Canis lupus familiaris: one gene and its partner. The protein of the gene in region 2 interacts with the protein of the main gene of each other region in a biochemical or structural test. Links are inferred from orthologs where the notes say so. Each region holds a gene or a part of one and is shown on either strand. Other genes may lie near its edges.

Region 1 (3,091 bases), on a different chromosome or scaffold from region 2:
AAAGTTCTGTTCATATTTTTAATCTTAATGGTATAATTTGCTTTTCTGTCAGGGACACTTGTTAAAATAGCCAATTGTATCTGAGTTGTATATATCATTGTATGAAAGGTATTTGATTAAAAAATCTTAGACTAAAAATTCCTTGAAATTTTTGCATATTCTTTAAATACTTAGAAAAGCCATTTTGGTTTATGTAAAACTGTTTGCATTTATTATCTTTTTAAAACTTATTTTTCAAACTGCTAAAATATTTAGATTTGCTGTTAGCCAAATCTTTTTTGTCTCAGGTCATGCTAAATGTGTAGAAGTTGTGAAAACTTTCAATTTACCATTACTGATGCTTGGGGGAGGTGGATACACAATTCGTAATGTTGCTCGATGTTGGACGTACGAGACTGCGGTTGCCCTTGATTGTGAGATTCCCAACGGTAAGCATTCTTATTAAGACCCATACGTACAAATGTGGGTGGGTGGATGATGAGCTTCTAGAGCCATGTGAACAGGAGAGCAGTCACTAAATAAATGCCCTTTGTGTTCACTTTTAAACGTTTTCTTGGGGAATGTTTCACAGCTTGAATCTGGGTTTTGTGCGTGGATTTGTGTGGAAAACTGAGCTTTTAATATGTTACTTTATTTTATTGTTTTTAATAGAACTGCCATATAATGATTACTTTGAGTATTTTGGCCCGGACTTCAAACTGCATATTAGTCCTTCAAATATGACAAACCAGAACACTCCAGAATATATGGAAAAGATAAAGTAAGAGACCATTGAGTTAATTTGATAAATATTTCATCTTTATTTTTATATATCAGATGTTTCCTTTGTCTTTTTCAGAAGCATTTTTGAAACGTTAAGATGACTGATTTCTTTTAATTTTTTTGAGATCATGAAAACGTATGTGCTTCGTAGCTCAAAAATATTTCCATTTTCTACCAAAATGGATTTTTAAATTTCAAAAGGCACTGTAAATTGTATACTTTTTTGCCTTACGAAAAAATGAAATTTTCCTTTTTGAAACATTTTGGTAGGAGCACCTGGGTGGTTCAGGGGTTGAGCGTGTGTCTTTGGCTCAGGGCACGATCCCGGGGTCCTAGGATTGAGTCCCACGTCGGACTCCCTGCGTAGAACCTGTTTCTCCCTCTGCCTGTGTCTCTGCCTCTCTCTGTGTGTTTCTTACGAATAAATAAAAATAAAATCTTTAAAAAAAAAAAAAAAGAAACTTTTTGGTAGAACTTTATCTCCATGAACAAAGTGTTTAGAGATCTGTTGTGCTATACAGACCCAAGTTTGTGTCTTTTCTCTGCCAACACACTAATTTTTGTGACATTTGGCAGGTTAATTTGCCTTTAGGCTTATATTTTCTCATTTTTGAAATGGGGGATGAAATAGTATCTGTGTTGTAAATTTTGAGGATTAAATGGGTTAATGATAGTCTGAATGTCATGCTTTTATATTATTATTTAACTCATAGGTTTTAAGTCAGGTAAAAGATGAAATGTTTGCTTAATATTTCCTCTTACATTTAAGAGGAACATGAAAAGAAATGAATTTTATCTAATAAATTTGCATGTGTAATTTAGACAGCGTTTATTTGAAAATTTACGCATGTTACCTCATGCACCTGGCGTCCAGATGCAAGCAATCCCAGAAGACGCTGTTCATGAAGACAGTGGAGATGAAGATGGAGAAGATCCAGACAAGAGAATTTCTAGTAAGATAATGCCTTGATGTGTATTGTTACATTCAACTTTCTTATGTCTTAAAACCTGATTTGAATGTCAGTGTTTTTAGTTCATGTGACTCTGTGTGATCAAGGGGGTGCCTGGGTGGCTCAATCGGTTGAGTATCTGACCTCTTGATTTTGGCCCAGGTCATGATCTCAGGGTTGTGAGACCAAGCCCCACACTGGCTGTGGAGTCTGCTTGGGATCCTCTCTCCCTCCCACCACCACCCCCCCTGGCCCCCACTCCCCATCCATGTGCATACATGTAAACATGCTTTCTCAAAAAAAAAAAAAAAAAAAAATCCTGTATATTTGGGAATGAAATGAAAAGTAATACCATTTATCCAAAGTAGGATGAGTTGACTAACATCAAGCACCTTCCGTTTGAGTCTCTAGCCTCCCATTCCACTTAATATTGCCTGCTAGAGTTCTAGCACAATGGTATGCTATTGTGGTGTAGACCTTCTAACATACTTGGTAGTAATGATATTTTTAATATTGTCTATGTCTCATTTTAGCTGTAAAACGAATGGTTAGGGATCCCTGGGTGGCTCAGCGGTTTAGCGCCCGCCTTTGTTCCAGGGCGCGATCCTGGAGTCCTGGGATCGAGTCCCGCATCGGGCTCCCGGCATGGAGCCTGCTTCTCCCTCCTCCTGTGTCTCTGCCTCTCTCTCTCTCTCTCTATGTCTATAATTAATAAATAAATAAATAAATAATAAATATTTAAAAATAAATAAAATGAACGGTTAGTCCTTTGAAAAAGACGTTATCCCCACCTCCTAGTAGTAAAACATAGTTTTCCCCTCCAAATTTTTCTTGGTGAGATCCCCAAATGTTTTTCATGTTGCTTTGAATTATTTCTTCCTAGCCTCCGATCTAAATTTTCAGTATTGAACAAACCATGCATTCAGTTCTAATCTTAAAAATATTAAGTATCTGTTACCCTGTACTTTTAGATGTAGAAATTGGTTGGTGCATTTGTACCTGAGTGTGCTAACAACAATTAAACCTCTGACCGTCTTTGTCAACTTTTCTTAAAATCCTTATATAATCAGTTCGAGCATCAGACAAACGGATAGCTTGTGATGAAGAATTCTCAGATTCTGAGGATGAAGGTGAAGGAGGACGTAGAAATGTGGCCGATCATAAGAAAGGAGCAAAGAAAGCTAGAATTGAAGAAGACAAGAAGGAAACAGAGGACAAAAAAGCAGGTCAGATTTATTTCTTGTTAAATATAAGTTTTAAAAATGAGCTTCACTTCAACTTTTTATGAAATCTGAAGCCAGTTACACAAGTATTAAAGGGGGTGGTTTTGCTGGGTAGATGACCTCTGTCCCCTGTGTCACAGGTAAATGGTGCTTACC
Region 2 (4,104 bases):
GTGTCATTTCTTGATAACAAGGGCAGTGGCTCGCTCAAACCAGGTATGAGAGGCCCAAATGCAGCCTGGAATCTCCCTGCCTTTCAAAAGCCTAACAGAACTGCGCACGTTCAAGCACCGATACCATCCATCAAGCAAAGGGCTCTTGGGCAAAAAAGGAGGCGCCAGTTTGCTTTGCTGTTCTGTTCTGTCCTGTGATCCAGGAGATGGAGGAGATAAGCTGCACCCCACATCCCAAGGGAGCCCCTGAGAAGTGCCCAGTTGGCCTGCACACTGACACCCCCCCCCCCCCCCGCGCGCCCCTTTGGCAGCTTCTGTTCTCCTACCTGTGTGGGTTCGCAGGTGTGCCTTGAGATGAGAACTCTTCGTGTAGGTTTTGCCGCAGCCCGCATAATCACAAGTGTGAGTGGCTGTCCTTTTCCGGGGCCATGACCTTCTCCCCCTCTTTGGTTTCGGCTCCTCCGGCATGCAGGAACCAGGAGGCATGAGCTCTAGGGGTGGAGAAGGTGGGGTGAGCATCGTCCCCTGAGCCCCCGGAGGGCCGGCTGACGCAGGGCTCCCCAGCCCCCGAGCTATACGGATCCCCAGGACTGACCTTGGTAATGGAGCGGTGGGACCTGTGGCTGCATCTGGTCTGGCAAAAAGGGCGGGTAGTTGGGCCCGGGGTGGGGGTGAAAGCCCGGGGGGAGTGGTAGGGCGGGGTGACAGTCCCTGCTGCTCAGCAGTTCCTCGGCACCCAGGGTCGGGGTAGTCCTGCTGGGGAGCTGCCGCCCCAGGGGGAAGTCGTGCGCTGGCGGCCGGTGGCCGTTGCTGAGAGGGGGTCCGGTGCCCAAGTGGGCCTCCAGGGGCCGGCCGACCGTGCACGACGAGACCGCCTCCTGCTTGATCTTGGGGCACATGCGCGGCGGGCCGCCGCTGTAGGGCGCCACGACCACCGGGTGGCTGCCATCCGGGCTGCCCTTGCTAACACTGATGACCGACGGGCTGCCGTACTCGCTGCCGGGGGCGCTCAGCGACGCCTTCAGCACGAACTTGCCCATCAGCCCGCCACCTGGCGGCTGCGGCTGCTGCGGCGGAATGTACACTGGGTCCAACTCGGGCCGAAGGAGCTCAGCCACGAAGCCGCCCGAGGGGCTCACGTCGTTGATGTCCGCCAGGTTGAAGGGGGCCGTGGGAGGGGGCACGGGCTCCCGGCTGTAGAGGAGGCCGCCGCCGCCGCCGCCGCCACCGCCACCGCCGCCGCCCGGCGCCACGCCCGGGTCCCCCCCGGCCCGGATCGGGTAGCTGAAGCTGCAGGTGGAGGGTGCACTGGCCGCACCGCTGCTCGACGGCGAGGACGACGACGAGGCCGACGCCGACGAGGACACGGTGGCGGCCACGGACTCCGGGTGGGACAGCGAGTTGGAGAGGATGAAGTCCAGGTCCAGGAGGTCGTTGAACTCCTCCGTCTCCCTCCGGGGTAGCAGAGCGGGGTTGCTGCCGCCACAGGCCGCGCCGACTCCGCCGCCTTCCAGGTCGGGGGCCACGGTCGCCGCCGCCAGGTCGTAGGGGCGGCCGGGGAGCACCGGGGGAAGTCGCTTCATGTGCGAGAGCTCCTCCCGCCAGCGCTGCGGGCACAGGACGGGAGAGGGGCCGTCGGTGCGGGGCCGGGCCGGCGGGGAGCGGCTGCGGGGGCCCGCGCTGCAGTCCCGGCCCGGCCCCGGGCCCCGCGGGGAGGCGGTGCGTCCGCCTGGAGGGTGTGGGCGTGTGTCCGCCCGACTGCGTGTGAGCCGGCGCCTCGGGCTCGGCAGCCCGGGTCCTCCCGGCCGGATCCCGGGGTCGCCGAGGGGCTCCGCCTGCGCCCCCGCCAGCAGCCCCCGCCAGCAGCCCCCGCCCACGCGCCAGGCTCGCTCGGGCCCGGGCGGCGTCCGCGGACGCATCCGCCTCCCGGCCAGTGGCCCCCGCGCCGGCCCTGCCGCCAGCGCTCGGAGACGTGTGCCGGCCCGGGGCGCGCCCCCGGCGGCTCCGCGGCGGCCGGACCACACGCACGTACGCGGGGCCGAGGGCGCGGAGGCCACCCCGGGAGCGCGGCGGGGCCCGGGCCCGTGCGGTGGCCGCTCCTTGCCCGCGCCGGGCGCCTCCCGGTGACCCCGAGGCTCCGCCCGTCCCCACCGCAGCCGCAGAAGCCCCCCGGACGCTCCTGCCCTTTCGGGGCCACACTCACGTTATTCGGGGCACCTGCTGGACGCAGGGTCTTCTCCCTTCCCGCCGGGCCGGACGCGAACGTGGAGAAGGACGGGAGCAGAGCGTCGCTGACAGCCATGTCAGACTCGCCAGGTGGCTGCCTGCGGGCCGGGGTGGGGCGCAGAGGCGGGGGTCAGGGGGCCGCGCTCCGACGCCGCCCAGGCGCGGCCCCCGGGTCCGCGGCCGTCGCCCCTCCCTGCGCCCCGCGCCGCACCTACCTCATTAATGTGGGGGCCCGGAAGGTCCTCGGGAGTCCGAAGCAGTGGGGGTACCCAAACCCCAAAGTCAACGAAGAGGAGAAAAAAAAAAAAAAAGACGAAGCCAAAACCAAAAACCCCAAACTGCCCGAGATCCTCCTTTGGATTAAATATAAACGGGAGATGCCTTTTGCTTGCTTGCTTGCTTTTTTTTTGGAAAGTTCCTCTGTACACAAAAGTTCTTAGAAAAGTTGTAAACTCGTAAAAGCAGACGATGAGCCGAGGCGCGTAAGTAGGTCCGTGGCCGAGCTGCGCTGCGCTCCCTCCGACTCAGCGGCGTCCTCCACCGCTGCTGTCGCTGTCGCTGTCGCGGTCGCGGTCGCGGTCGCGGGGGCCGCGGCGGTCGCCGTGGGCGCGGGGGCCGCGGCCGGGCTGGCGGGCGGGCGGCGCCGCCAGGTGAGACTGGCCGCGGTGGCGCGGGGCTGCGGACGGGGCGGCGGCGCGGCGCGCGGAGTCCGGGGGGCCGAGCGGGGCGCGCGCGGCCATGGGCGCTGGCCGCGGGCGGTGGGTGGGTGGGGGGCCGGAGGGGCGGGGAGGGGCGCTTGGCGGCTCCCGGGGCCGCCGCCGCCCGCCGCCGCCTCTGCTCCCCGCGCGCCCGCAGCCGCGCTCGCTCTCTCGGGCCGGGGAACTGCCGGCGGCCGCCGCGCGCTCCTTACTTAACTTCTCGGCTCCCGCCCTACCCCGCCTCCTCCCCGCGGTGCGCCGCGGCCCGCCGCCAGGCCCCGCCCCTCCCTTTCTTCTCCCCTCCCTCCGCGGCCCCCCCGCGCGTTGCCATGGCAGCTAAATAAACAAACTCGGCGCACGTGGGGGCGGGGGAGAGGGAGGGGCGCGGGCGGGGCCGGGCCGAGCCGTGACGCCAGCCCGGCAGCTGGCGGGCAGGAGCCGCGCTGACGCCGGCGGCGGCGGCGGCGGCGGCGGCGGCGGCGGCTGCCCGGGCGCGGGGCGCGGGGCGCGAGGCGCGGGGCGCGGGGCGCGGGCTGCCGGGGAGCTGTGCGTCGCCGCGGCCCGCTCTGCGGGGCCGAAGCCCGTGGCCGAGGGGCCCGCCGGGGGCGGAGGGGTCGGTGCGGCCTCCGCGCCCCGCCCCCACCCCCGCTCCGGCCGCGCTCGCCGCGCAGTCTGCGCGCTGGAGAGAAGCGCGATTATCCGCGTGACTCACGCGGCCGTCCGTCCCTCCCCTGTGCGCGCAGCGGCCCTGCCGGGCCCCGGGCCTGGACCCGCGGGGCTCGCCGTGGCCGCCCGGCGCTGCGGCGGCAGTGGGAGCCGGAGGGAGGCCGCCCGGGGCGGGACGCGGGGTTGCGGGCGCGCGGGCTCCAGGCCGATGCGCCGCGGCGGACGCCTTCCAGCCCGCGGAGCTCAAGCGCTCTACGCCTCGCACCCTCTTTCCGCTCTACGGATGGGGACACTGAGTCATAAAGGGGGGCAGCGGCGAGATAAAGGTCTGCGGGGCGCGCGCTCCGTGGCGCGGGTCCGAGGGCCGAGCGCCCGCCCCCCCCCCCCAGGGGCGCTTCGCTGGAGAGCGGCCACGTGCCAGGACGTGGAGCCGCGCGGCGGGACCCCGCTTCCCGAAAGGGGCCCGACGGGCTCGGGCGGCCGTTCCCGCCCGCCGGGAAGAGAAGAGGAAACG

Evidence for each region.
Region 1: the proteins of KLF4 (region 2) and HDAC2 form a complex in vitro, tested with the Homo sapiens proteins (2 studies listed by BioGRID). The link is inferred for Canis lupus familiaris from reciprocal best matches to the Homo sapiens genes KLF4 and HDAC2.

Annotation. Positions count from the first base shown.
Region 1 is NC_049233.1:70,456,964-70,460,054, reverse strand, and holds part of HDAC2 (histone deacetylase 2), read left to right. Parts: intron 1-287; coding exon 288-428; intron 429-651; coding exon 652-760; intron 761-1,584; coding exon 1,585-1,715; intron 1,716-2,782; coding exon 2,783-2,938; intron 2,939-3,091. UniProt on the Homo sapiens protein: Histone deacetylase that catalyzes the deacetylation of lysine residues on the N-terminal part of the core histones (H2A, H2B, H3 and H4).
Region 2 is NC_049232.1:63,260,229-63,264,332, forward strand, and holds the start of KLF4 (Krueppel-like factor 4), read right to left. Parts: upstream 2,835-4,104; 5' UTR 2,447-2,834; coding exon 2,442-2,446; intron 2,325-2,441; coding exon 2,204-2,324; intron 1,608-2,203; coding exon 596-1,607; intron 492-595; coding exon 327-491; intron 1-326. UniProt on the Homo sapiens protein: Transcription factor; can act both as activator and as repressor. Binds the 5'-CACCC-3' core sequence. Binds to the promoter region of its own gene and can activate its own transcription.